Linked DNA regions of Caenorhabditis elegans. The protein of the gene in region 1 purifies or fractionates together with the protein of each later gene. This does not show direct contact. Each region holds a gene or a part of one and is shown on either strand. Other genes may lie near its edges. The genes, in order: ndc-80, cdt-1, npp-20 and dnj-20.

Region 1 (4,388 bases):
TGGCTTTCCAGCGGTTCCTGGTCCTCCTGGGTTTCCGTCAGCTCCTGGTGCTCCAGCAGCTCCTGGTGGTCCCTTTGGTCCAGCTGGTCCTGGTCCTCCGGTTCCTGGGGCTCCGTCATTTCCGGCTGGTCCGGCTGGTCCTGGTGGTCCAGCTGGTCCTGGCTCTCCTGGTCCTCCTTGCTCGGATGCTCCTGGTTCTCCTGGTCCTCCTGGGGCTCCTGGGGCTCCGTCGTTTCCGGCTGGTCCTGCTGGTCCTGGTGGTCCGGCTGGTCCTGGGCCTGATGGTCCGGCTGGTGATCCTGGGTTTCCATCTGGTCCCGGTGGTCCTGGTGGTCCGGCTGGACCAGCTGGTCCTGGTGGTCCTCCTGGGCATGGTTGGCATGGTGGTTGAGTAACTGGCTCACATGGAGCTGATGCTCCTTTTCCTGGATTTCCTGGGGCTCCTGGAGCTCCTGGCTTTCCTGGCTTTCCTGGTTTTCCGGGAGATCCACCTGGTCCTGGTGGTCCAGGATTGCAGCATCCATCACATCCTCCGCCGCCTGAAAATGTATTCAAATACTTAAACTCTGTGAACCAAGATCCTTACCTCCGCCTCCGCCTCCTCCAGCTCCTCCAGTGGAATAAGCTTGACGAGCAACACGAGTATTGTTTCCTGGAGCATCCTTAATAAGATGCACCTCACTCCAGATATCACGAGCAGAAACCTTGCAGAAATTAACATCAGTGTGAATCTGTTTCTTCACATTATTAACATAGTTATAAACCATTGGCAATGTGATGAAAACAGAGACAACGGCGACAACCGAGAAGGTGACTGCCGAATAGGCAACAAATTTATAAGCTTTGATACGAGCGTCGATGTCCATGATTACTGTTGGAGGGTGAGTGATGGACTGAAGAATTCCAAAAGAACTGATGTTTTTATACTAGAGACGTCCATGGCTATTACTTGGAACTGGTATAATTGTTCTTGTTAAGGAGAAAGAAAAGAGAAAGAATAAGAGGATCCAGTTCTGTGTTATCACTCCATTGGTTAAAGATACTGGTTTATTATTGTAAACTATATCAGTTTCTCGAAGAAAAAAAATTTGACGTAATTATTGGCTGGAAACTTCAATTACAAAAATGCAAATATTAAGGGGCAACTTCTGTTTATCAATATACCGACTGGAAATGATCTAACCATTGTAGGAAAATTCAATTCTATTGTATATTAATCGTGTTTGAAATTATATCTCAAAAGTTCCAACAATTCCTTCATTCTGGAATCTCCGGAAATCAGTTTCCTCGCGAGTGCAGCGTCTCTGTAATGTAAGTGCGCTCCAATCACAATTGCTATAGCGGGAAAATTCAAATGTGACTTCTCTCTCTCTCTCTCGATATTGTTTTTACTCAAATTTCTATTTTCGTTTTTTTTTTCATAAATATTTCTGTAAAAATGTTTTTTCTTCTTTAAGTTGGAAAACAAAGTTCTCAATAGTTGCCAGAATTATTTTTTTAAATTTTATATGCGTCGCCTTCCGTTAGTATATTCAGTTCTGGTCAATTTTATTCGCTCATTACAGTTTCTTGACAATGTTTGGAGATCGAAGAAAAACGGGCGGCTTGAATCTCAACGGACGTGCCTCAATCGCTATCACTCCGACTAAAAGATTCACCGATTATACTGGATCAACATCAGTCAGAAAGTAAAAATATCCAATTTCGTGCGATGAAGAACTAATCTAATTTGCAGAACTGACGCTCGCCCCAGTCTGAGTCAACCTCGTGTGTCATTGTTTAATACTAAAAATTCATCAGTTGCTCCGCGAGATGTGAAATCATTGGTCAGCTTAAATGGAAGCAAAATTTACAACTTTCTTGTGGAATATGAAAGCTCGGATGCACCATCAGAACAGCTCATTATGAAACCTCGTGGAAAGAATGATTTCATTGCTTGTTTCGAATTAATTTACCAACATCTCAGTAAAGACTACGAATTTCCACGGCATGAGCGGATTGAAGAGGAGGTGTCCCAGATATTCAAAGGTCTTGGATACCCGTATCCACTCAAAAACAGCTACTACCAACCAATGGGATCTTCTCATGGATATCCACATCTTCTTGACGCACTTTCTTGGCTTATTGATATCATTAGAGTTAGTAACTGATTTTTTTATTATTTTCATCCCTATTTATTTAACCATTTAGATCAATTCTGCTGTCAGTGAGGACACACAAAATATCCTGTTCGGTGATTTCATGGAACAGGGAAAAGCTCAAGAAAAAACGCTCAATTATGCATGGATGACAAGTACATTCAGAGATTATACAAATGATCGAAAAGCAGCAGAAAATCCCAGTTCTTCATACTGGGACGACACGAAGCATCGTCTACGGAAGTATTTCGAGCAATCCAATGAATTCGAGGATATGACTAAAACAGCTGCATCAGCTCTGGAGATGCTCAATTACGAATGTGATGAGATAGAGGCTGATGTAAGTAGAATTTCGATACTTTTGTTTTAAAGAAGTTTTATTTTCAGAAAGGAAACGAAGCAAGCTTAAAAGAAGAGATATCAAGAATCAGAGACGACATCCGAAAAGCTAAAGATTATCTCGAGCAAAATCTTCATGTTAAGCAGCATATGGAGAAAGAACTGGCTATGGTGAAGTCGGAGCAAGAGGAGAAAATTTCAGAAAATGAAAAAGTGCAAAAGATGGTGGACGATCTGAAGAACAAAATTGAGTTGCAAAAACAAATTCACGGATTGACAGGAAAAGAAGTGCGTCAAATGAATCTTGACAATAATAAAGACAAGGAGGTGGTACTGGAAATTCAAAGCGAGTTGGATCGTCTATCAAAAGAAACATGGAAACTCAAAGATGAAGACTTCTTCAAAGAGGTATTCTAGGTTTTTGGAAAGTTGAATGCCTATCATTCACGGAAATACTTGTATGACAATCAAATTTGTATGTTTCAGCAAAAGTCCAAATTCATTCATCTCGCAGAACAAATCATGAAAATTCTCAGTGGACTTAATATTCAAATGAATCTTGAACCACTAAGAGCTCCAACGAATGAAAGGTAAATTTCTAACAATTTATTAAAAATTCACAAATCTACATTTTCAGAGATCTTAAGGATTACTGGGAGACGTTGAACAAGATATGGGTTCCAGAGATCAGCCGACAGTTGCATCAGAGAAAGCTTGAGCTTGAGACTGAACAGTCAAGATTTTCAAATAAAGCAGTTACCGCAGAGTAAGTTGTACTCGAATTAAGCGCCGTTCCATTGAATGTTAATAATATACACATTTATAAACAATAATTCAGAGAAAGAATCCAAATTCAAAGCGAAACACTCTGTGAAGCGAAGAAGAATGAGGCTCGCGAAGAACGAATTCGTCGAAACGAACGTGATAGCTGGAAAGATGCTCGCAAACATATTGAACAACGATATGAACAACTATTGAATGAAAAAGAAGTACTTCTAAAGCAAATGAAACTTGATGGAAGCCTCGAGAAAGAAATCGAAGATGAGACCGCCAGAATGTCTGCAACTGGAGAAGAACACATACAAAAGAGATCTCAATTGGAAGCTGGAATCCGGCAAATATTGGATCTGATGGTAGTGGAAATCGCCGAGATTGAGGTAGGTCCTGTCAATTTTACTGAGCTATTCTATTTTTCATTTTTTCAGAACAAAAAGATAGGATTCCACGTGCAATGTGCTGGCATTGAAAAGGCGGTTCTTTAGTCTCCTTTGGCATAATCATTCTGTGAATAATACTAGCTTTCATTAAAAGAAAAAAAAAATGACTCTAACATTTATTTCTGTGGTTTAGACTTATTTTATAAAAAGCCAATGAACAATGATTTCCAGCAAAGCGAACTTTAATATATTACACAAAAAATGGTTTCAAGCAAGTTTAATAACAATGTGGTTCCTCTTTGTGCTTCACACCGATTTCCATGTTAGGAACTCCTAAGTCAAACCACTTATTCACCTGAAAAATTATTTTGATGGAGTATGAAGTATCATCAATTACCTGCATCCCCTTGTTCACATAATTGTCTGGGACAGTGAAAGTAATCTTGCGTCGACAAACTTTGGAAGATGAACGACAATTGTGATATATACGTAGTTGGGGATCAATTGCAGTTATTGAAATTGCAAATCCAGATACTTCGAAAGTTCCGTCTTCGTTTACATGGGTTTCAGCAATAAGATCGTCTGGATCGACTGAAAATTGAATTTTTTGTAGTTTTTTGAAGCAATGTTTTATAACGGTTTTGTGGGGATCGTCCCCACAAAAATAGACGAGAGATCCTGTTTTTTAAGTGAACAATGTTTTATCATAATTTGTTCTTGTTTTGGTATTCACTTGAATTTAAATATTTCTAGG
Region 2 (7,150 bases), on another chromosome or scaffold:
ATATTCAAAATGAAATAATTTCTGAGACTTCACTTTTTTGCAATTTCTTCAAATTTCCCGCATTTCTATTCCAATTCCAGATGAGACCCATACCCGCTCTGGAAAACCATGAACGTTGGCATCGAATTGACACCGTTCTCTGAGCTGGTTTTCTCGCAGATCTCCACATCAACTTTCAGAAAAACTGCTCCAAGATATTGATTGGACAGAGCTTCAAATGTTGGAGCAATCATTTTGCACGGTCCGCACCAGACTGCAGTGAAATCGACAATCACTGACTTGAGACCAGCGAGGGAAAGCTGATTTCTGAAGTCTTCGTCGTCTTTCACGTTGATAACTGGCATGGTGTAGGGGAGATGGGCTGAAAATTAATTTAATATTTAGATTACTGCACTTATTTTTTTAAGGTGGTGTAGTCGAATTTTTTTAAAATTGCTTCATTAGACTCAAAATTGTCTCAAAACACCGAATTTCATGATGAAACTGCTTGAAAACTTCTCAAAAAAAGTTATGACTGCTCAAAAAATGGCCTAAAATTAGTTAAAATTTGAAATTAGACCGACTTTTCAAGCGGCTAAAAACTACCTTTTTTGAAATCACCGTCAAATTTTGAGTATATATAAAATGTAATTATCTTGCGTTTTCAACTCGATTTAGGTATTTTAAAGTCGATGGACGGCGAGATTTGGTTTAAAAAATTTAAAAATCTCGCCGTCCATCGACTTCAAAATATCTGAATCAAATTGAAAATGCAAGATAATATAATTGTATACTCAAAATTAGACGGTAATTTCAAAAAAGTTAGTTTCCAGCCGCTTGACAAGTCGGTCAAATTTCAAATTTTAACTAATTTTAGGCCATTTTTTGAGCAGTCATAACTTTTTTTGAGAAGTTTTCAAGCAGTTTCATCATGAAATTCGGTGTTTTGAGACAATTTTGAGTCTAATGAAGCAATTTTAAAAAAATTCGACTACGCCACCTTTAAAATACGGATTTTTAATCGAAAAATGCAAAATAATCTCAAAAAATGGGAAAAATCCCCAAAATCTAAAGAAAAATTAAAGAAAAAAATTGGGTTTTGAAAAAAGTTGTTATTTTGTAGTTGAATTTGTTGAATTTTTCCCGCTGAAATTCCAATTTTTAAGCTTTCGCATCATTTTTTTTGGGATTTCTGGCAAAAGCTATTGTAAATACTCCCGGAACAATGCACGAATATATTTTAGCTATTTAATACGCAGAAATTGTGAAATTTCGTTATTTTTTGGGCGATTTCTGGGGAAATTTTGACCGAAAAATTGTAATTTCTGGGATCACCGCTTCCAAAATTGTTCAGTTTATAGTTCTAGGAGCAAAAGATATCTCATTCAGAAGAAAAAACGAAAAAAAAATTTCAAAAAATATAGGAATCACGCCAATTTAAATAATTATTCATTAAAAAAAAGATTTTTTGAAGGTTTCCACAGTAAAATGCATTCATTCTCAAACTGATTTTTGGGTAATTTTGGGCATTTTACACGCTAAAATAGGTGAAAAGCACTTTTAAACGCTCTGAACACAATTTTAATATGCAAAAAATAGTATAAATTCCGGAAAATTAAGAAAATCGGCATGAAACGTGGATTTGTCAGCATTCAAAATGAATGCCGGTGCGGCGAGGGAGTGCACGAAGCGTGGAGACGCAGCGGACAACAAACGCGCTCCAATGGACAAAAAGTGCGGGAAACCGGGACTGTTCAAAGTGTACGCTTTGTCTGTCGTCTCTCCCATTTATTTTTTGGTTTTCGCGAATAATTTCGCTGAAATTATTATTTATTCCTGATAAAAATGAGTTCCCGGGTGACTAGATCCAGGTCCCAGACTCCGCAGACTGCTGTAACCGACTTTTTCAAGGTAAATTGGAGTTTGAAGTTATGAATTGCAATTATTTAATGTTTTTTTTTCTTTTTCAGACCACCAGAAAACCGAGAGCAAGAGGAGAAAAGAAGATTATCGATGAAAGCATCACAAAGACCACTACAATTAAAGAAGTACAAATTCCTGCTGCTCCAATCGTCGAGAATAAATCCTCCCGAACTCGCGCTCGGACTCCATCCCGTCAAGCGGAATTATCGAGTTCCGGAACTCCGCCAAAAAAAGCTAGAGAAGCTGAAGCAGAAGCCCCTGAGCTTCCCAAAATCCATGAAGATATTATTCTGGAAAATCCGGCTCCTCAGAAGTCAGCGATCGATAAGCTAATGGAAGCATCCGGCCCAGCGAAAAAGAAGGCTGGAATTCGAACTGTTGCAGATTTACAAGCAAGAATAGCTGCAAAAGGAGCAGCTAAAGCGATTCATGAGCAAAATTTGAAGAACAAAACGAAGCAGGTCGATGATCACGTGGAATTGCTGAAATCTCCGAAGAAACCAGTTATTGTTGAGCATCACAAATCACCTCAGAAATCCAAGGCCGCTCGTAATCTGTTCTCACCGAAGAAGCCAGTTCCAGACTATATTATTCCCGGCTTTAATGTCCTGAAATCGGCCGAAAAAGTTCGCGGAGAGCAGGATGATGCTCACGAAGAAGAGGGAAAACGAATGACTGCAGAGTTTCTGAAGAGCTCACGGCTTATTGATGAAGTTAAGGAGAGTGCACGTCAACGGATTGAACTTCCAACTGCGTATGAACATCTCGCTGATACTTTCAAACGAATCGATCAGATCACTGCGATCTTTATCGGTCAGAATCGAAGCTGTGTGGTTCCTGAGTTGATCAAGAATGTTAAGAATACGTCTGGAAAGGATTTTTCCAATGAACATTTGTCACAAATTCTTCATGTATATCCTCAATCATATCATATTGAGATGCGTGAACAGCGAAAAGCATTCGGCCAGGGCGGGAAGTATGAACTTGAGGTTCGACCGAATCTCGTGGAAGGTTCGTAGCTTTCGGTTGGCAATTTGCAATAAAAACATTTAAAAAATCAGCTATTTCTGACGTATTCCATTAAAATTTAGTGTCAGAAAATAGAAAAAATATTATATTAATCGTAAAATAGCATTCTTTTAAGTTTAAAAAGACTTATCGATTTTTCTTCTCTGTTTGATCACCTCCACACATTTTTGAACTCGAAAATATTTAACGATTAATAAAATATTTCTCTATTTTTTAACAGACCCTATTCATGCTCCTGATACTGATTTTTGATGTGAAAATTTTTCAAAAAATTCAAAAAAAAAGCCCTGGTTTTATATTAATTTTTGGAAATTCTAAAAATACTAGCTTTGCTCAAAAAAAAACTGAAAAAAAACACAATTTTCTCTTCAAAAAGTAAGAAAAAACACAGCTTTTTACCAGATGTTCGAAAAAAAAACTTTTTTGTTTAAAAAATCCAAAAAAAAAACAATTTTTTAGTAAAAAAATTCGAAAAAACTCAATTTTAAGAAAAAAATCCGGGAAAAAAACACCGTTTTTTAGTCATAAAATCGGAAAAAAGATAATTCTTTATTCAAAAAATCCGAAAGAGCTCAATTTTTTAGTCATAAAATCCGATAGAACAGCGTTTTTTGTAAAAAAAACCGAAAATACCGAATTTTTATTCAAAAAATCCGAAAAAAAAACACAATATTTCAGTCAAATAATCCGAAACAACGCTATTTATAAATTGGAAAAAACACCATTTTTTGTTCAAAAAATTAGAAAAAAACAATTATTTTTAATTTAAAAAATCTGGAAAAAACACAATTTTAAGTCGAAAAATCGAAAAAAAAAGACACATTTCTTTAGTCAAAAAAATACGAAAAAACACCTTTCTTGTTCAAAAATCCGAAAAAAACGCAATTTTTTAGTCATAAATGCGAAAAATACGCAATATTTTAGTTTAAAATATCTGAGAAAAACACAATCTTTGTGGCCAAACATTGAAAAAAACACCTTTTTTTGTTCAAAAAATCCCAGAAAAACGCAATTTTTTAGTTATAAAATTCGAAAAAACCCCAATTTTTAGTCAAAAAAAAGTTTCCTGCTTACAAAAAACCTTTTTTTTTGCAGATCTACGAGGCTACATTTACGAAAAATCCCCCACCGACGGCGACACCGAAGATCTTCCACTAGTCTGCCCATCAAAGCTGCTCTCCCCAAAGAAAAGCCCCAGAAAACAAGTTCAACCGGCTCTCCGAAAGCCAGAAGTCGACGGGAGGATTCGCCTGGACGCTGCTCGTCAAAGAGACCGAGCTCATGTTTTCCGTTATAAGTTGGCCTCGATTGTCACGAAATGTCATACGGAATTTTTGGAATCTCAAGGATTATGTGCTTCTTCGAATATTAAGAGAATGCATCCATTATTCCGACTTGACAAGCATTGTCCATCACTGCCGCAGGTGAAACTTCCAGAACCTCCTCTACAGAAATCATCGATTCATATTGGAATGAAAGAAGCTTTAGATAAATATATGGATCAAGTATCTCTACCATCATTTGTTCAAAAAGCTTATCAAGACTTAAAATCTCCACTGAAATCAACTACAGGAGCATCTGGAACAGTTCCAATCTCGCCGAAAAAGTTCTCCGAGATGCAAAAAGAGCAGAAGAGCCAGGGAGCAATGTCACTTTTAGAGCGTATTCGTGCGAAGGAAGCAATCAAAAAGGCGGCTGAAGCTTGTATTGATAAGGATCTTGAGAGAAGAAAGCAACGTCTAACACTGCTCCGTGACCGATATGTTCGAATTGTGTGCAATCATTATACGGCGAAACGGGCTCAGACGATGGAAATTGATGTGATTTGCAAATTTGTGCAGTTCAGCTCGTCCAACTCGTCTTCGATTCCTGATATTATGGATCATTTGAGATTGTTGTGTGAGGTCGCACCGATGTACATCTCTGAAGCTAGTTTAATGAACAAAAAGTTCGTTTTTTCTCGATTTTGAGCCATTTTTGCGAATTCTTTTGCATCGAAATCGAAAGAAAAAACTTGAAAATTGGATGATTTCGGCGAACTTTAAAAAATTGTTTTCAAAAAATGTTGAAAATTCGCAAATTTTTTGAAATAAAATGTCTGAAAAAATGTTTAAAATTCATTGAAAAATCGGAAATTCTCTTAAAAATGCTGAAAACTCTAGAAAGCAGCAAATTAGTAAAAAAAAAATATCAGAACATTTGCAAAAATGGGAATTTTCAGAAAATTCAACTTTTTTTTTGAAAATTAAAAAAAAATCTCGATTTCGGGTCATTTTTGCAAATTCTTTTGCATCGAAATTGAAAGAAAAATCAATCTTGAAAATTTCGCAAGTTTTAAAATATAATTTTCCATAAATTCGCGGTGGTTTTTCAGAAATTTTTGAAAAATATCAAAGAATTTTTAAAAAGTTATGAAAAAAATCGGAAAATTTGATTTTAAAAATTTCTTTGTCTCGATTTACGCAGACGGTGTACTCCACGAGGAGAAGAGTAGTTTTTGGATATGGTGCTCGATTTTGTATGATTTCTGCAAATTTTTTTTCTTTTAAAAATTCGTCTGAAAATTTTTGAATTTTTTTAAAAATTCATTGAAAAATCGGAAATTCCTGAAAATTAGCAAAAATGTTTGGAGATTTTTAAAAAATTCGAAAAAATTGTTTGTAAAAAATCCTGAAAATTCCCAAAAAAAAAATTATGACAATTTTCTGCGAGAGTTTAAAATATTACAGATTTTTTTAAATTTTGAAAAATATCTAATATTCTCGAAAAATTCGCCTTGGAAAATTTCGAAAAATTCATTTTAAAAATAGGAAATTCAAAATTACTACTTTAGCATTAAAAAAATCATAAAAATTCTCCAAATTTTTTAGAAGTTTCCAAAAAAAAAATCGCAAAAATTAAATTTGTGGTTTTCCAACAATAAATGGACCAAAATCAAAAATTTCCACCAAAAAAAACATAACTTCTCCTCGAGGAGTACACGAGCTCCGTAAATCGACACAGACATTTGTGAAAAAAATTACTTGAAAATCGTAAAATTTCAACAAAAAAAATTCTAATTTTTTTCCAGATACTTCCGATTCACCGACAACAACATTGAAGCAATCAACGAGTTGCTCGATGAAGAGCTCCAAATTACTCAGAAAAAGATTGATGAGCAACGAAACACCCAAATTGCACAAATGAGCCACCACCACACACCACGGCCATCCAAAGCAGCAAGATCTCTCAAATTTCATTAAAAACTAATTTCTAAGCCATTTGTAACTAATTTTCTCACTTTTCTCTCATAACATTCCTGCAATTTTTAATTTTTTTCCAAAGAATTTCCAGAAATTTCAAAGATTTTTGAGCATTTTTCGATTTTTTCACGAATTTTCCGGAAAAAAATCGGAAATTTTTCAATACAATTCTCCAAAAAATTCCCGAAAAATCACAAAATTTCCACTATAACTTCTCGAAAATCTTTGTAATTCCTGAACATTTTCAAAGAATTTCTAAAAATTCTCAATTTTCCAGAATTTCTTTGAAAATTCCTGAAAAAATCGGAACTTTTCCAAAAAATCCGTCACTTGTAACTATTTTTCTTCTCGTTTTTTCTCTCATGCTCTGTACCATTTTCCAATTTTTTTTCACTTTTTTCCAAGTTATCACTCTTGCAATTTCAAATTTAAAATTTCAAATAAATCAAAACGTTATTTAGAAAATTAAAATGGAATTAAAATTTTTATTCCAAGCTGTTATTCATTTTCAGCGTAAAAATTATTTTCCGCTTGGCGCATTTTCGGTGCATTGCTGGCGCATTTCGCGATCCGTTTTTCAACCGTTTATGTATTTTTCATCATTCTTCAATGAAAAACTAAATTTTTAAAACAAAATTCAATTTTTCTATAATTTTTCAATTCAGAAAATGCTCAGTAATCGCCTCGTTGGCTTTCTTTGCTCCCGGTCATTCACAAAATGCACAAGCCTGCCGAGCCGATTCACACGTGACGGATTACGGGATCGATTACGACAGCAGGAGCTCAAAGAGCTCACGAAAAATCATCAGATTAAGCAGGCGTTTAGTCCAGACGCTAGAACTGTCAGGCCGATGTCGGATTTGTGGAAAGTACGGGATTTTTTATTTTTTAGTTGAAAATTAGTAAAAAAATCAGTTTTTTCGGCGAAAATTGAAGTAGAAAAGGTTTTTTTTTTGTGTAAAAAATATCAAAAATTC
Region 3 (7,767 bases), 8.6 Mb from region 1:
ACCTCGAATTTCCGAGATTTGTCGATTTTCTTCGGAAAAACTATGTACTTTAACAAATTTACAGGGATTTTTTTGGAAAATTTCTGGAATTTTCCAACTTTCTCGCAAAAAATTTAAAATTATCGATTTTTTGATAATTTATCTATCAAATCAAGTGGCAGAAAGGAGAAAAACAATAAAAAGGGCAGTCCGCACGTGCAGAATTGAAGAGAAAGAGGACCTCAGCCAGGGTGAGAGAGTGTAGAGGGTGTGGAGACGCAGACACTGAAAGAAGGGGGTTCAGAGATGTGGAGAGTGCAGAGATGTTGGTGTGATGAAGACTTGGCAGTGTGCCAAATGATATTTTTTATGGAATATGATGCAATTGTGCTCTGTTGATAATTTTTGGGGTGGCAGGATTCTTTTGGGGGAAATTATTGATTTTTTTTTTCTTTAAATTTGATTTTTCTATAAAAAAAATTGGATTTTCTATAAGAATTTAGATAAATAATAGTTTTCTTATATTTGCTTTAATGATTTTTCGGCACAAATAACAGATTTTTTCAAAAAAAAATTTTTTTTTACTTTTTGGGGATTTTTATCGGAAATTTGAAAAAAACTGAAACTTACGATTTTGATGCTTCTTGAAACTATTATTTTTCGAAACTTTTTTCAAAAAAATTCTGGAAATTATTGATTTTTGTCCTAAAAATTTTTAAAACCCCGAAATTCTATCGAAAAATAATTCAACATTTTTAGATTTTGCGTGAAAACTCTGTTAGAATATCGACTTTTCTGTCAATTTTCAATTTTTTTCCGCAAAAACTGCCAGAATTTCCTCAAATAGTTCATTTTCGATTGAATTTCCAAATTAATCCGAAAAATCGATAATTTTTTGATTTTTAACTGGATTTTTCGATAGAAACGTTAACTTTGCTGACTTTCTAAAATTTTTACAAAAAAAAACATTTTAAAAAACGTTGGAAAACACATAAAATTCGAGTTTTTCGGCTGGAAATTGGGGAAAACACAAAAAAAAACAAAATGTTCTACAGTAACCTTGAAACTGCGCGTCGGGTTAGATGCATTGATACGCAATTGCGTACAATGCATTTTACTTGCCGCGCACACTTTTTGGAATTATTTTCAGCAAAAATTGCAATTTTTCAAGTATTTCAGCGAAGAAATTGAAAAAAATAAGATAATTGCAAAAATACAAGCGGGTTTTAAAGTTTTCTTTTTAAAAATCTCAAGTTTCTCAATAAAAATATAGAAAACATGTTTTAAAACAGGAATAAGCGAAAAACTATTATAATTTATTGATTTTCGCCTCCAAATCACGCTAGAAAATCAAACTGATGATCATGACAGAAAGAAATGATCGTAAAAATTGCGCTGACGACGTCACGCGACCCGCAATAAGACACACGGAGGCTAAGCACAAAATATAATGTGTTTTTTTTTCATTTGAATCTTTTTTTCAGACTTCAAAGTACGGCGTGTTGATATTGATGATCAGAAGAAAAAATCAAAACAGAAGAAAAAACAAGGACAATATAATTAAGAAAGTTGTTTTTCAGAACTTTGATCTTTTAATCTGTGTTGAAAGGTTCCCTGAGTTGTTTTTGATTTAAAATCTTAAAAAGTAGAACTAGAAATTGTTATTTTTATCAAATTATCAACAATTTCCCATTCGAATTCTCCAGGTTTCCATCAATTATTATTTTCTCGTGATTAAATCCACGTTCCTTGGCGCACGAGAAACACGCCAGCTATCGTTTGCTGGCGCGTTTCTCGTGTTGACGCGTTTCTCGATCGTTCCAACTTGCAATTTTTAAATTCAATTTTTGCCGAAATTCACTCAATTTTTAGCGATTTTTTTCGAAATTTCTAGATTTTCAGCTGAAAAATGACCACGGTCCGCCAGAGAATCGATACACAACATCGTGACGCAATTGTAAGTCGGAAAATCTGAATTTTAGCTAAGAAAATCTATTTTTTTTTTTTAAATTCTGAAAAATTGCAGCACGACGCTCAGCTCAACATCTACGGAAGCCGACTCGCCACGTGTGGATCTGACCGTCTTGTGAAGATTTTTGAGGTCAGGAAAGGCGAAAAATCTTGGATTTTCTGCAAAAATCCCAGAATTTTCATAATTTCAACGCAAAAAAAAATATAAAAATATTACAGGTTCGCCCAAATGGCCAGTCATATCCGATGGCGGAGCTTGTCGGACACAGTGGTCCCGTTTGGAAAGTCTCATGGGCTCATCCGAAATATGGAGGACTTCTTGCCTCCGCTTCCTATGATAAGTACGGAATATTTGGAAAAAAAAACGGAAAAATGATCAAAATTTGCTAGATTCGATCAGAATTTCATAAAAATACGCTAAAATCTCTGTTTTTAATCGGTTTTCAGCTCATTTTTTGGGTTTTTTGCCAAAAATTGGTTAAACAGAGTGATTTTGGAAGAAAATGGACACAAATATTGAAAAATGCAGCCTATTTCTGAAATTTCAATGAGTTTGATCATTTTTCACCGATTTTACGCTATTTTCCCTTTAAATTCACGGATTATTTAAAGAAAAATCAGTATTTTCGGTCAATTTTCACAGTTTTTTTTTGAATTTCAAGCCTAATTTCCCTCAAATCCACCAAAATTTTAAAAACTTCAACGGGTTTTATGAAATTTTTACCGATTTTCTGCAATTTTTTCCCGAATTTTAGTCGATTTCTGCCCCGATTTTTGTAATTTTTATCGATTTTATTCAATTTTCATAGTTTTTTTTTCGGAATTTTGAGCCAATTTACCCCCCAATCCAACGTTTTTTTCTGGAATTTCCATGAATTTCAGTAGTTTTTCACGGGTTTTTTGCAATTTTTAGCTCATTTTGCTCTAATTTCAGGCATTTTTCATCAATTTTCACAGATTTTCAGCCAATTTTCCCCCAAATGAATCGATTTTCTTTCCAGAAAAGTGATAATCTGGAACGAACAACAAGGCCGCTGGCAAAAAGCCTACGAATGGGCCGCTCATGAGGCCAGTACGACTTGTGTGGCCTTTGCACCACACCAATATGGCCTAATGTTGGCTTCTGCCTCTGCTGACGGTGATATCGGTATTCTTCGATACGACAATTCGAGCAACGAATGGATTTCGTCGAAAATTCAGAAATGTCATGAACAAGGAGTTAATTCAGTGTGTTGGGCACCTGGAAGTGCTGATCCGGCGGCAAAAAAACGTCTTGTTTCAGCTGGAAATGATAAAAATGTCAAGATTTGGGCTTTGTGAGTAGAGAAAATGCACTGAAAATCGATTTTTTAGATTTTTTAGATTTTTTTTGACCCGAAAAACGTGAAATTTTGACGTTTTTTCGATGGAAAATACAAAAACCGCAATTTTCTCAGGTTCTCAAAAGTCAGATTTTTTGTAAGCCTAAGCCTAAGCTTAAGCCTACGCCTACGCCTAGGCCTAAGCCTCAAATTGCCAAAACTTCTCGGAAAAAAAGTCGTAAAATTTTACTTTTTTTTCAGCAAAATTGGCAGATTTTATGAAATTTTCCCAAAAAAGTTGTATTTTTGATCCAAAATTTGTTTAAAAATCACAAATTAGTGCAGTTCTTACCGGAAATTTTTGAAAAATTCAAATTTTTCCCTCAAAATTACCTGATTTTTTGCTAAAATCACAAGAATTTCTGAGATTTTTCCCCTGAAAAAGTCAGTTTTTCTGGGATGAAAAAATTCGCAAAATAAAAATTAAATTCGGATTTTTTTTAAGGCCTAAGCCTTAGCCTAAGCCTGAATTCCAGAATTAAAAAAAATTTCCTTCTGAAAAATCAATGAAAAAATTGTTTTTTTTTCTGAAATTCTCAAAATTTACAATGTTAAAGTTAAAAATTCGACCCAATAGCGTATTTTTTCACCGAAAATTCTCAAATTTCTTAAATTTTCACCTGAAAAATCCCATTATTTTGCCAGTGACGACGCGAAAAACGAGAAAAAATGGAAATTTTTCGCCAAAGTTCCAGATTTTTCTAGAGTTTCCTTTGAAAAATCCTTTTTTTTGACAATTTTTCCGTGAAATAACCCATTTTTTCACAGTTTTCCATCAAAAAAGACTAAAAATCCGACCATTTAATAAATTTCTTTCTAAAAAATTGTAAAAGTAAAAGCGAATTCTACCCGAATTTCAGATTATCGTGTTAAATTCAAAATTTCCAGGTTTTGGATATTTTTTAACAGATATTTGTCGAATTTCCTGGATTTTCCCCCTGAAACATCCAATTTTTCGGTTTTTTGATTAAAAAAAAACTGAAAAAATCACTCAAAAAATAATTTAAACTTGAAAATTTGTCCCAAAAGCTGTTTTTTTTGCAAAAAATTCTCAAATTCCAGATTTTTCGCAGTTTCATTTCAAAAAACCCCCAAAATCGGAAATTTTTATTAATCTTTTTTGCTGAAAAATCAGAAAAAAAGTATATTCTTTCGAAATTTTTGTCGAATTTCCTGAATTTCCTCTTGAAAAATCCATTTTTTGACAATTTTTCCGCGAAATTACCCATTTTTTTACAGTGACGACGCGCTACAAACAAAATTGTTGGTGAAAATTCGAAAAAAAAAAAAAAATTTCCCCATTATAATGCAGAAATTTGGGTTCGCTTTGGAAAATCCCAATTTTGAAGCTGCCCAAAAGCTGATTTCCCACTGAATTTTGTCGAATTTATTGGGGTTTCTCACTGCAACTTTTTCCTCACGAGGGACGAGGAAAAGTGGTTTCTAGGCCATGGCCGAGGGGCCGACAAGTTTCAGCGGCCATTTATCTTGCTTTGTTTTCCGCCTGTTTTCTTTTGTTTTTCATCGATTTTTTTCGTTTTTTCTTATTAAAACTGATAAATAAATATTTTTTGCAGATGCTAAAACGATTTCCAAGTAAAAAAAAAATGTATTCAGTGGGCAAGCAGCGGTGAAAGTGGGCAATGTAAAATGATGGATTACGGGAATACAAAACCTAAACTTTTTCTGAAACATGATACATATGATGCTTAGATGCTGAAATTACCTGATTTTCATAACGAGACCGTTAAAAAAGTTTTGAGGTTTTCAAAATTCAATTTTTTGTGCGAAAATCTCGACTTTTTTACCAAAAAAGTTGAATTGTGGAAACCTCAAAACTTTTTCAGCGGACTCGTTATGAAAATCAGGTAGTCTCAGCATTTAAGCAGCATATGTATCATGTTTCAGAAAAAGTTTAGGTTTTGTATTCCCGTAATCCATCATTTTACATTGCCCACTTTCACCGCTGCTTGCCCACTGGATACATAATTTTTTAACTTGGAAATTGTTTTAGCATCTGCAAAAAATATTTATTTATCAGTTTTAATAAGAAAAAACGGGAAAAAGCTGTGAAAAACAAAAGAAAACACGCGGAAAACAAAGCAAGATAAATGGCCGCTGAAACTTGTCGGCCCCTCGGCCATGGCCTAGAAACCACTTTTCCTCGTCCCTCGTGAGGAAAAAGTTGCAGTGTTATTGGGGTTTCCTAAGAAAAATTCATTTTCTTAATGACAATTTTCCTTCGAAATCACCAATATTTTTTCCTCCAGTGACGACGCTACAAACGAATGGATTCTCGAGAAAACCCTAGCCGGACACACAGATTTTGTACGTGAAGCCGCATGGTGCCCGGTAACAAATAATGGACAACATACAATTGTTAGCTGTGGAATGGAGGGAAATTTGGTACTTTTCCGTACTTCAAATATTGAAACTGAAGAGTGGAAGGCGAAATTATTGGAGACGGCTCCGTGTGCATTGTACCATTCATCATTTTCTCCGTGTGGATCATTCCTTTCAGTTGCTGGCGATGATAATGTGGTATGGAATCGAGGATTTTTGTGTGGAATAATGTGGAAATTGGCACCGAAATTGGGAAAATTATGGATTTTTTACGTCAAAAATGGCACAATTTTTGAAAAAAAAAAGTGTACAAAAACAGCGAAAATCATCGCTTCAAAAACGGAAAATTGTCACATTTTTAGCAAAAATCGCTGAAATTTTGGATTTTTTAGCTCAAAATTATGATTTTTCGAGCAAAACCTAGAAAATTCGAAAAAATTTGGAAAAAATAGCGAAAAAAAAAAGCATTTTGGCATTAAAAAAAACGGAAAAAAATCTTACCTACCTCTAGCCGCAGTAGGCATGAGGCAGGTGGCAGGTTTTTGTGAGGAAAATTTTGATTTTTTTTTTTTTTTTTTTTTTGGTTTTAATACAACTTCTATCTTTTTTGCCCGGTTTTTCGTAATTTTAGGAAGAATTTTTCAGAATTTTCGTTGAAATTCGATTTTTTCAGGTGATTTTGATCGAAAAATGCTAAAAATATTAATTTTCGAGCAAAACCTGGAAAATTCAAAATTTTGGAAAAAAAAATCTATTGAGAACTGGCAAAAAAGTGGGAAAACAAAAAATTTTTTTTACCGGAAAATTGGCCAAAATCACTTCAAAATCAATTTTTTTTACATAAAAACCGGCGAATTTCGGTTGAAAAGTATCGATTTTTGAGCAGCACATGAAAATTTCAATTTTTATGAAAAATTTGAGAAAAAGCTACCGAAAACTTGCAAAAAAAGCATTTTGGCACGAAAAATCTGAATAAATGGAAAAAAAATACTCAAAAATTCAGAATTTGCAGTAATTTTACTGAAAATGGCGAAAAATTCGAATTTTCCGATCAAATCACCGGAATTAATTGAATTTCAACGAAAATTCTGAAAAATTCGACCTAGAATTACGAAAAACCAGACGAAATGTTCCCGCCTGCCTAATGCCTACACGTGTGCCTACCGTGCCTACAGGTAGGTAGGCAAATCTTCTTAAAAAAGTGCCGTTTCTACAAAAAAAAGCATATGATAAGCTCTGTTTGCAGGCAGGCAGGCACCTACGCCTAAAAACGCTCATTTTCCAATTTTGCAGATCACAATTTGGCGCGAAAATCTTCAGGGACAATGGATCAAAGTGCCACGTGACAATAAGGAACGCGAGGGAATGAGCCAAGCGGTCGGAGCTCCGGGAGCTCAGAGATAAATAAATTATTTATTTTTTTTCGCTGTTTCTACACCCATAATTCCTCTTAAAACTTGTATATGTACCTGTTATTATTGATTTTTTTCCTCATTTACTTCTCCGAATCCAGATATTTTATGATTTTCCTTCTTTTTCTCTCTCAAAAAACTAATGCGAAACCGGGATGAAGTTTTATTTATTTATTGATTTTTTTCGACTAAATTCAGATTTTCTCTTATTTTTGAAAAATTGGTCGCAGTAGCGCAGTCGGTTACGGGCTGGGCTGGGACGCAGAAGACCGGGGTTCGACTCCGCGTGGTGGGAATTTTCTTTATCTTAGCGTGATTGATACTGTTAACAAGCTGAAACTGAGTATAACCTGCTGGAAACTAGTGAAACTTGAAAAAAATCAGTTTTTTTTCGGAAAAATGCGGAACAGTTTTTGAAAACATGATTTTTACAAATTTCCATGCACATGTTCAAATTTCTCGCACAATTTTCGTTTATTTGACACCAATATTGGCTCATTTCCGAGGATTTTTCGAAAAATTGGTTGCAGTAGCGCAGGCGGCAACGGGCTGGGCTGGGACGCAGAAGACCGGGGTTCGACCCCGCGTGCTGGGAATAATTTTTTTCTTGGTTGATACTATTATCTAGCGGAAGTTGACCGAAATTTGTTAGAAATTAGAAATAATCTCGAATAGTTTGGGTTTTGTGTCATTTTTTTGCG
Region 4 (7,788 bases), on another chromosome or scaffold:
AACTTTCGTATTAACTTCATCGAATAGTCGACGTGCTTCACGTGCTTTTTCAGTTAATTGTTGAACTTCTGGTGGATAGTCTGGCATCTTCTCGTCATCCTCATCTGGGTGGGCAATATCCTCCGAACCTTCAGCATCGTGTCTGTCTTCTTCTGCTAGAAGATCATCGTCATCTGGAGCATTTTCTAAAGCTTTAGCTCTTTCCTTTTCCTCTTCTTCTTTGTGTCGGATGTCGTCAAGATGAGTGCGTTTAGCAGTTTTCAGTCGATCGTACATGAGTGACTGGAAGTGCTCCAAATCAGCTTCATCTGAAATAAATTAATATTTTAAATATAAAACCTTAAAATCTTTCAAACTTACCAACTGTGTGATATGCTTTAACCTCATCTTCACTAACGAATCCATCATTATCATCGTCTAAAAATATATTCTGTCTGAGCTCTTCTTTATCGATTTTTCCATTCTTATCCAAATCCAACTCATCGAACCATTCTGCTGCTCTCAACTTCTTCTTTTCATTTTTCACTGATTCCCATTGATTTCTATGTTCATCTTGCAACTTTCTCTCTGCATCTTCCGCAACCTTTTTCTCTCCTTCAAACTTCACACGATCCGGCTCCAAAAGTGCTCTTTCTTGTCTAAGTGGCTCGACATCCTTCAGCTTAGAATCTCTCAAAGCTTGTCCTTCCTTAGCCAACTCTTGACGCTTCTGGTATCCTTTTCTAGCTATATTTGCAACTTTTTCATGTTCAATTCTAGCTGCTCTGCCTAGTTCATCACAAATGTTTGGGCAATCGACACCAGAATCATACTCGTCACTTCCATCACAGCAATCGCAAAGTTTATCATTTACTCGGTTAGTTGGAATGAAATTTCCTTTATGACCGACATTGGAGCAGTAGAAAAAAGCGTTTCCACAAGCAGAAGTTCCGGGCTCATCACTTCCATCTTTACAATCGCAATAGTCATCGTTTAATTGGGAATAGAGAATTGTTTGGGATCCGTCCAAGCATCGGAAGGTGTCAGTTGTGGAAGGTTGGTACAGGTTGAGACCTGAAAATCGATAAATGAAAGTATAATGGGTTTTATATGTGGAGCCAATAGGGATTTTTATCTTGAAATTAAAATAAAAATTTTTGAGTTTAAAACTTTAATTGAACAGTTCATAACGATTTTAAAATGTTGTAAATACTTACGAGAATGAGGAACTCCCTTTACCGGTTTCAGTTGTCTCTGAGTGACGTCTTCAGCTGCTAAAAATGCAGGCAGTAGGAATATTAATATTTTTGGAAGCATATCTGTAAAATATATGCTTTGAAATTCTGAAAATAGTCAACAACATAGCAATAGAAATCAAAAAATTGATAATTCACAAAGAAAATTTTCAAAAAGAAAAAAAGAGGGTTACGGTTTTAATTTAAAGGCGCATATGTGGTTCAGGATGGGTCTCATGCCGATATCAATGTTTTAAAGTTTTAACGTTCGAAAACAAATTTTTTATTATTGATTTTTCTTTGTTTAAACAAGTTTTCTAATCATTTTCGACATAAAAACTTTAAAAAATACCAAAAACATGCCAATAATTTTATAACCGATAAGAAAAAATGCAAGTGCGCTCCACCGCTTCACCGTTTAACTGACGTGTGCATAAACGTGGTAGTTTTTGGACTTTTTCATCCGGAAAAATAATTTTCTTAGAATTTCAGCCCCAATTTCTTTGTGTCCTGCTCTAAATTTTCTAAAAAAAATTTTTTGCAGTAAAACATGCGGATATTGAACGTTTCCCTACTGGTCTTGGCCTCATCCCTGGTCGCTTTTGTCGAGTGTGGAAGGGATTTTTATAAAATTTTGGGTGTCGCAAAAAATGCCAATGCTAATCAGATTAAAAAGGTAAGTTTTTGAATTGTTAATTGAGTTTTTATATTGAAAATTTGCAATTATTTCAGGCCTATCGAAAATTAGCAAAAGAATTACACCCCGATAGGAACCAGGACGATGAAATGGCAAATGAGAAATTCCAAGATTTATCGTCGGCTTACGAGGTTTGTAGATTTAAAACTAGTTTTCATTCTGCCATTCAAAATAAGTTTAAAAAAAAACAAATACCCAAAAGAAAAATTTTGGTGCTGATTCTCCAAGATCTAATTTTCCAAAACGTCACAAAAATCGATTTTTCAGGTACTTTCTGATAAAGAAAAACGAGCAATGTACGATCGACATGGAGAAGAAGGTGTTGCGAAAATGGGTGGTGGTGGTGGTGGAGGCCATGATCCATTCTCATCATTCTTCGGAGACTTCTTCGGTGGCGGAGGTGGTCATGGAGGTGAAGAAGGAACTCCAAAGGTTATTTATCAATATTTAAAACTATTTCCTTTCGAATTTAGTTTCAAATATACGCGAAAGTTTAATTATTAATTAATTTCACAATTATTGATTTTTCAGGGAGCTGATGTGACAATCGACTTGTTCGTCACGCTGGAAGAGGTGTACAATGGACATTTTGTCGAGGTAAGTGAAATAGGACTTAAATCTGCAAAAAAGAATCCAGTTGAAATAATCGGATTATCATAGTTCACAATAACATGTTCCCCCTTATAAGAAATTCATTTTTTCCAGATCAAACGTAAAAAGGCGGTTTACAAGCAAACGTCAGGAACTCGTCAATGTAACTGCCGTCACGAGATGCGTACCGAACAAATGGGACAGGGAAGGTTCCAAATGTTCCAAGTGAAAGTTTGTGACGAGTGCCCAAATGTGAAGCTGGTTCAGGAGAATAAAGTTTTGGAGGTGAGCGATACTTTTTTTTTGGCAGTGAAGTTATTCTAATTCAACATAAATTTTAAGGTTGAAGTGGAGGTTGGAGCCGATAATGGTCATCAACAAATTTTCCACGGAGAGGGAGAACCACACATTGAAGGAGATCCAGGAGATTTGAAATTCAAGATTCGAATTCAGAAGCATCCAAGGTAGGTTTTCCTTCTCTTTTTAAATTTATTTGATCTTCCCCTCCTCAGAAGCCGTCTAGCTTAGAAAAATTGCACTTTTTTAACGAATTCCCTCAAAAACCCATTAGTTTCTCCGTTATTTTTTCTCCTCCTTGTTTCTAACGATTCCATCATTTAGTTAGTTAGTTTTAGTTGGAAAAGTGTAACATTTTTGACTTCCTCATCATCACACTCTTCACTCCACCACGCACTTGTACTTTTTTCCGCAGGTGAACGAACACTCGATGTTTTTTCACTGAAAATAGTGTTGAATTTTTGTTTAGAAATTGTATTTCTAACCCGGAAATGTGAAACTTCCTCGTTGATATGTCGAAAAATATGGGAAATTTGGAATTATTAAATCGTCAGAAAAAATCATCCCAATTTTCAAAATCAGATATTTTCGTGATTATTGAATTCTTCTTGTAACGCAGACGCCTAAAGATGAGAATTTTCGGTAGATCATGGGTCTCGCCACGCGGGCAATGCGTTACAGTAATCTGCTATCCGCGTTGCGAGACATTTCGTCGTTTGCATAATATGTTCATTTCCCTATAAACAAAAAATTCGCCAAAAAAGTGAAACCGCTCTTCCACTTAACACCTCTCACTCATAGTCATTCCGATTTTCTCCCATCATTTCCAACACAAAACTGTGAAACCAGTTCAGATTTGGCATGTGTCAATCACACATACTTATACTGTTGAATACTAAATACATACATAATACCCTAACGTCATTCATAACTGAAAATTTGTGAGAGAACATTCTCCTGTACTTTTCCGTCGAAAATTGTGATATAGGAAGTTTTGCTATTTTAATTAAAATTTAGACAGGCAGAAATCACATGTTCGCTTTGAGAGACCGCCCTGTTAGTCAGTTAGTCAACCCCGCAAACAAGCACACACACGAGAAAGTGAAGGTGGCTCGTGATTTTAGAGAAAAAACAGACATGTTCGGACTGTTTCACAATTGTTTGCTTTATTCCTTGCTCTTCCACCTGTCCAATCCGAACGAGCACATAACGCATTGCTAACCCGGTTTTTGCCAATTTATTGAATTAGAACAATTAATTGTTTAGCTCTCTTGAAATATCAAAACATTTAGTGGAAGCCTATTCGGTAGAATGTTTTCCCTTTGAAATGAACACTCATAGTTCAACACCCAACCATCCGCCCATCTCTCCTCGTTTACATTTCAATTGATTCATTTTCACTGATTTCACAATTTGAATGAGGGCGTTGGTACTGTGTGCGTATTCATCGTCACTTGTTTCGTCTCCTTGTTCATCTTCTCGGCAACAACAACGTTTTGTTTTTCAAAAGAAGAAGGAATTTATGATTTTAATCGTTGTTTTCGCTGATCATCGGATTTTTCGAATTGAACAATTTTCGGCATTTAAGAATGGCATTTCTGTTTCACATTTCTCTCAAAGTTTGCTACTGAACAGTGATGGGTCTGCCCAAACATCCGGTTAGAGCATTCCCGATTGATGAATCGATAAAAAATCGTCGTCAGCCGCAAACAGACGCACACATACTTTGTGCTCATTCATTTCTTCTTTTTCACTTTTTTTTTCGTCCGGCCCATGAGCTTGGTTTCTCTTTCTCTCTCTCTCCCTCTCTTGATTTTCTATTTGTCCAACTGATTGATGTGTGTGTAGAAGCGAAGTTTGTCATTCTCTCTCTGTGCTCCACCGGGCTCAAGACTAGGCTCTTGACGACGAGCACCAGGTTGCGCTTGCGTCAGTTCGTCCTTTCGCTCATTTCTTCTTTGGCTTCTAGCGTTGATTGACGGCTTATCTTTTGTCAGACGTTCTTTATCGATTACCATGATTTTGAGAAATTTTATTTCAATCTTTTAGGATGTGGATTTTCAAAATGTAACATGGTAATTTTAAGTTAAAAATTGCCTTCGATGCCTTCAAAATTCAAATGAAAATTGCCGATGAAAACGTTTGTTTAACGGTGAAATTAATCGGCAATTAATCTTTGCTGGCCTTCGACAGCTTGTTATTGTTAACCGAATTTTAGTCAACTGATACTAGTCACGATCTTCAGAATTGCCATTCTTCATTAAACCCCACGCATACTTTTATAGTTGTTTCCGAAATATGTTTCTTATCAAAATGAGGAATTGATTAAATTCCAATCAATCTAAATATCTTGTCCTCGTCCAACTCAAATGACAAGGTTGTGTCAATCGAGAAGATGATGATCAAGAAGAAACGTTGGAAACCGATTGATTGATTTGAATTGAAATGACATTATTTTCTACGCCCACCTTCTCTTGTTTGGGTGTGTATGTTGCAAGTATCTATTGTATTGCACTTCTTCCGTGTTTAAAGTTCTCCATTGCTTGATGTCGTTTGGGTTACTGTAGCTCTGGAATTTATATATTTTTCCATTTTGTTGATTCATTTTCAGAAATTTCCACCACCTCCACACAATGTGTTCTTTTATTTTGTGTGCATGTTGGGGAGAGAAATAACAAAAGTGTATATTAAAAAACGCCCACACCTGTGATTTTTCTTTCCCTTTCTCTCACTCTCTTCTCTCCCCCTACCACGCATTTCTCCAGGTCGTCGTCTCCAGGATTCTCTTATCAGTTTCTATCTCATCCGCCGTTTTCCTTCCCAATTTCCACACGTTTTTTTCCTTCTCCGCCGCAGTCGTCTCAGATTTTTTGTCAGTCTCGTCTTTTTATCTAATGAAAACTGGAATAGTTCCGGTTTTGTTGCTACTCATTTCGTTCTCTCGGGATTCGGGATAAGCGATATTACCCGATTACGCGGACAGGTTCCAACTTTGACATCAGAAGCTGACGATGAAAAAACTTTGACTACGTGATTCGGGATTTTTTAGGTATTTCTAGATAATCACACTTCATGTTCACACGGAACTTGCTGATAGTTCGATAGCTGCATTGAATCTGATTTGATCGTGTTTCACTGGAAGCGAGAGAATGTTCAATGTCTTTTTATACTTCTACACATTGATCCATAAATTAAATACACCTGAGGGCATACATAATATAGTGCTCCTGAATGATTTTAAAGTAACCTTCTCACACTGTTCTTATTTAAAAAATGCATAGTGGGAGTAAAAGAGTCAATCAAGATGACCCCGATCGACATCTTCTTCATCTTTTTTCCAATCTACTCGTATCGTTGTTCATGTCAATGACAATATCATTTCACTTCTTCTTCTTCTTTTCCTCCTTCTACTTCTAACTAACTACTACTATTACTAATCTCCGCAATATGTATATACATGCCTTCCGCGCCTCCTCTCTGCGAGTAGTAGGAGGAGATGTAATACGAAACGAATGTTTGATGCGTTGGCGGTATGTGTGTGTGTGCCCGGGCGGGATGCGTCTGCTTCTCTATGTCATCGTCTCGGTGCATCAATAGCAGCAGTTCTGACTCTCTCTATCACTGTCATCTCACACTGATCTGCGTTTTTGCTGTTGGAATTGATTGGGAATGAAGTGAGACATCACGCTATCTCTATCAGCAAGTGTTGTGTGTGTGTGTCGATCAATTCACGAATTGGCGGGAAATGATCGGCAGTTCGTTTTTGCTCGTCTCGTGTCTCAGAACTTTTAGTCTACCGTATATAAAATGAAATTTAGTTCCACTTCTTACTTTGGACCTTTCCAATCTCCGTTATAAGCTCATATAATCTCAATCTATAAATGTTTTACAGGTTCGAACGCAAGGGTGATGATCTGTACACAAATGTGACAATTTCACTTCAAGACGCGCTCAACGGCTTCGAAATGGAAATTCAACATCTCGACGGGCACATTGTCAAGGTTCAAAGAGATAAGGTTGGTTTTTCTCATATTTTTAGAGAATATATTCGTCACTTTCTGTTTTGCTTCACTAAAAGAATTGTTTAACTTAAAGGGGGTACAATGTTCGAAAGTGTTCAAACAGCTGATCACGAGAATGACGTGGCAAACATAAGGGTGGTGATGAAATGACCACAGTGAACACATATGGTTGAACACAACATTCACGTTTTCTGTTTTCAAAAAGCCAAAAGTTATAGATATTCTTTTTCTAAAATTAATTCCCTTTACCGTTATAATTGAACTTGATTTTTCCAGGTAACCTGGCCAGGGGCCCGTCTTCGTAAGAAGGACGAAGGAATGCCATCCCTTGAAGATAACAACAAGAAGGGTATGCTTGTCGTCACTTTTGATGTTGAATTCCCCAAGACGGAGCTGTCGGACGAACAGAAAGCGCAGATCATCGAGATTCTTCAACAAAACACCGTGAAGCCCAAAGCGTACAACGGCCTCTAAACATTAAATTGGGTGGATGAAGCCTAGAAGTCGACATCAATTACACACACAGTGACCACACTATTAGATCTTTTTCCAATCTGCAAGAAAATTTTTGAAATTTTGCATCGGAAAACTCGTGCTCGATCTCCGGATCAAATCCCACCCCCACCCAACCACTTCAAACCGAAAATCGCCCGAATCTTCTTCTAGCAGACGCTGATCTCTACGTCTTCATCTTCAACTTCATCAAGTCCATCATTTTATAAAACCAATCTTATTTTTCTCAGTTATTTTTTTTCAATGTTTTTTGAGTTTTCTGAGTGGCAAACTTTCGAATTTTAAATTCAAAAAATTTGTATCTGAAAATAATTTAATCATGTTTTCCACTCAAAAAGCCCAAAACCAAACTTGGCCAGCACTCGGTACTAGAAACTGCATCATTGATAAGTTTAAGAAGTTATGGAAATTCTTATGAGTTCACAAAAAACCTCTTATCACTATCATAATCTAA

The links.
Region 2: the proteins of ndc-80 (region 1) and cdt-1 fractionate together in Caenorhabditis elegans (co-fractionation; one large-scale study listed by BioGRID). This does not show direct contact.
Region 3: the proteins of ndc-80 (region 1) and npp-20 fractionate together in Caenorhabditis elegans (co-fractionation; one large-scale study listed by BioGRID). This does not show direct contact.
Region 4: the proteins of ndc-80 (region 1) and dnj-20 fractionate together in Caenorhabditis elegans (co-fractionation; one large-scale study listed by BioGRID). This does not show direct contact.

The regions. Positions count from the first base shown.
Region 1 is NC_003282.8:10,084,572-10,088,959, forward strand, and holds ndc-80 (Kinetochore protein ndc-80), read left to right. Parts: upstream 1-1,565; 5' UTR 1,566-1,575; coding exon 1,576-1,688; intron 1,689-1,735; coding exon 1,736-2,138; intron 2,139-2,190; coding exon 2,191-2,478; intron 2,479-2,525; coding exon 2,526-2,885; intron 2,886-2,963; coding exon 2,964-3,067; intron 3,068-3,114; coding exon 3,115-3,243; intron 3,244-3,315; coding exon 3,316-3,634; intron 3,635-3,682; coding exon 3,683-3,739; 3' UTR 3,740-3,866; downstream 3,867-4,388. Other genes in the region: col-2 (Cuticle collagen 2), read right to left, coding at 1-539, 587-866; ttr-39 (Transthyretin-like family protein), read right to left, coding at 3,912-3,989, 4,032-4,225. UniProt on the Caenorhabditis elegans protein: Acts as a component of the essential kinetochore-associated ndc-80 complex, which is required for chromosome segregation in mitosis and meiosis and spindle checkpoint activity.
Region 2 is NC_003279.8:3,222,642-3,229,791, reverse strand, and holds cdt-1 (CDT1 Geminin-binding domain-containing protein), read left to right. Parts: upstream 1-1,687; 5' UTR 1,688-1,824; coding exon 1,825-1,890; intron 1,891-1,949; coding exon 1,950-2,913; intron 2,914-4,026; coding exon 4,027-4,879; intron 4,880-6,001; coding exon 6,002-6,173; 3' UTR 6,174-6,632; downstream 6,633-7,150. Other genes in the region: txl-1 (Thioredoxin-like protein), read right to left, coding at 94-344; rom-5 (rhomboid protease), read left to right, coding at 6,842-7,042.
Region 3 is NC_003282.8:1,490,129-1,497,895, reverse strand, and holds npp-20 (Protein SEC13 homolog), read left to right. Parts: upstream 1-1,873; 5' UTR 1,874-1,888; coding exon 1,889-1,936; intron 1,937-2,005; coding exon 2,006-2,080; intron 2,081-2,169; coding exon 2,170-2,291; intron 2,292-2,951; coding exon 2,952-3,266; intron 3,267-5,581; coding exon 5,582-5,852; intron 5,853-6,947; coding exon 6,948-7,058; 3' UTR 7,059-7,243; downstream 7,244-7,767.
Region 4 is NC_003280.10:9,618,147-9,625,934, reverse strand, and holds the start of dnj-20 (DnaJ homolog dnj-20), read left to right. Parts: upstream 1-1,758; 5' UTR 1,759-1,764; coding exon 1,765-1,890; intron 1,891-1,946; coding exon 1,947-2,042; intron 2,043-2,178; coding exon 2,179-2,343; intron 2,344-2,442; coding exon 2,443-2,508; intron 2,509-2,616; coding exon 2,617-2,787; intron 2,788-2,844; coding exon 2,845-2,966; intron 2,967-3,239; exon of another isoform or gene 3,240-3,520; intron 3,521-6,691; coding exon 6,692-6,815; intron 6,816-7,097; coding exon 7,098-7,295; 3' UTR 7,296-7,788. Other genes in the region: ZK1307.8 (Glucosidase 2 subunit beta), read right to left, coding at 1-308, 361-1,053, 1,197-1,296.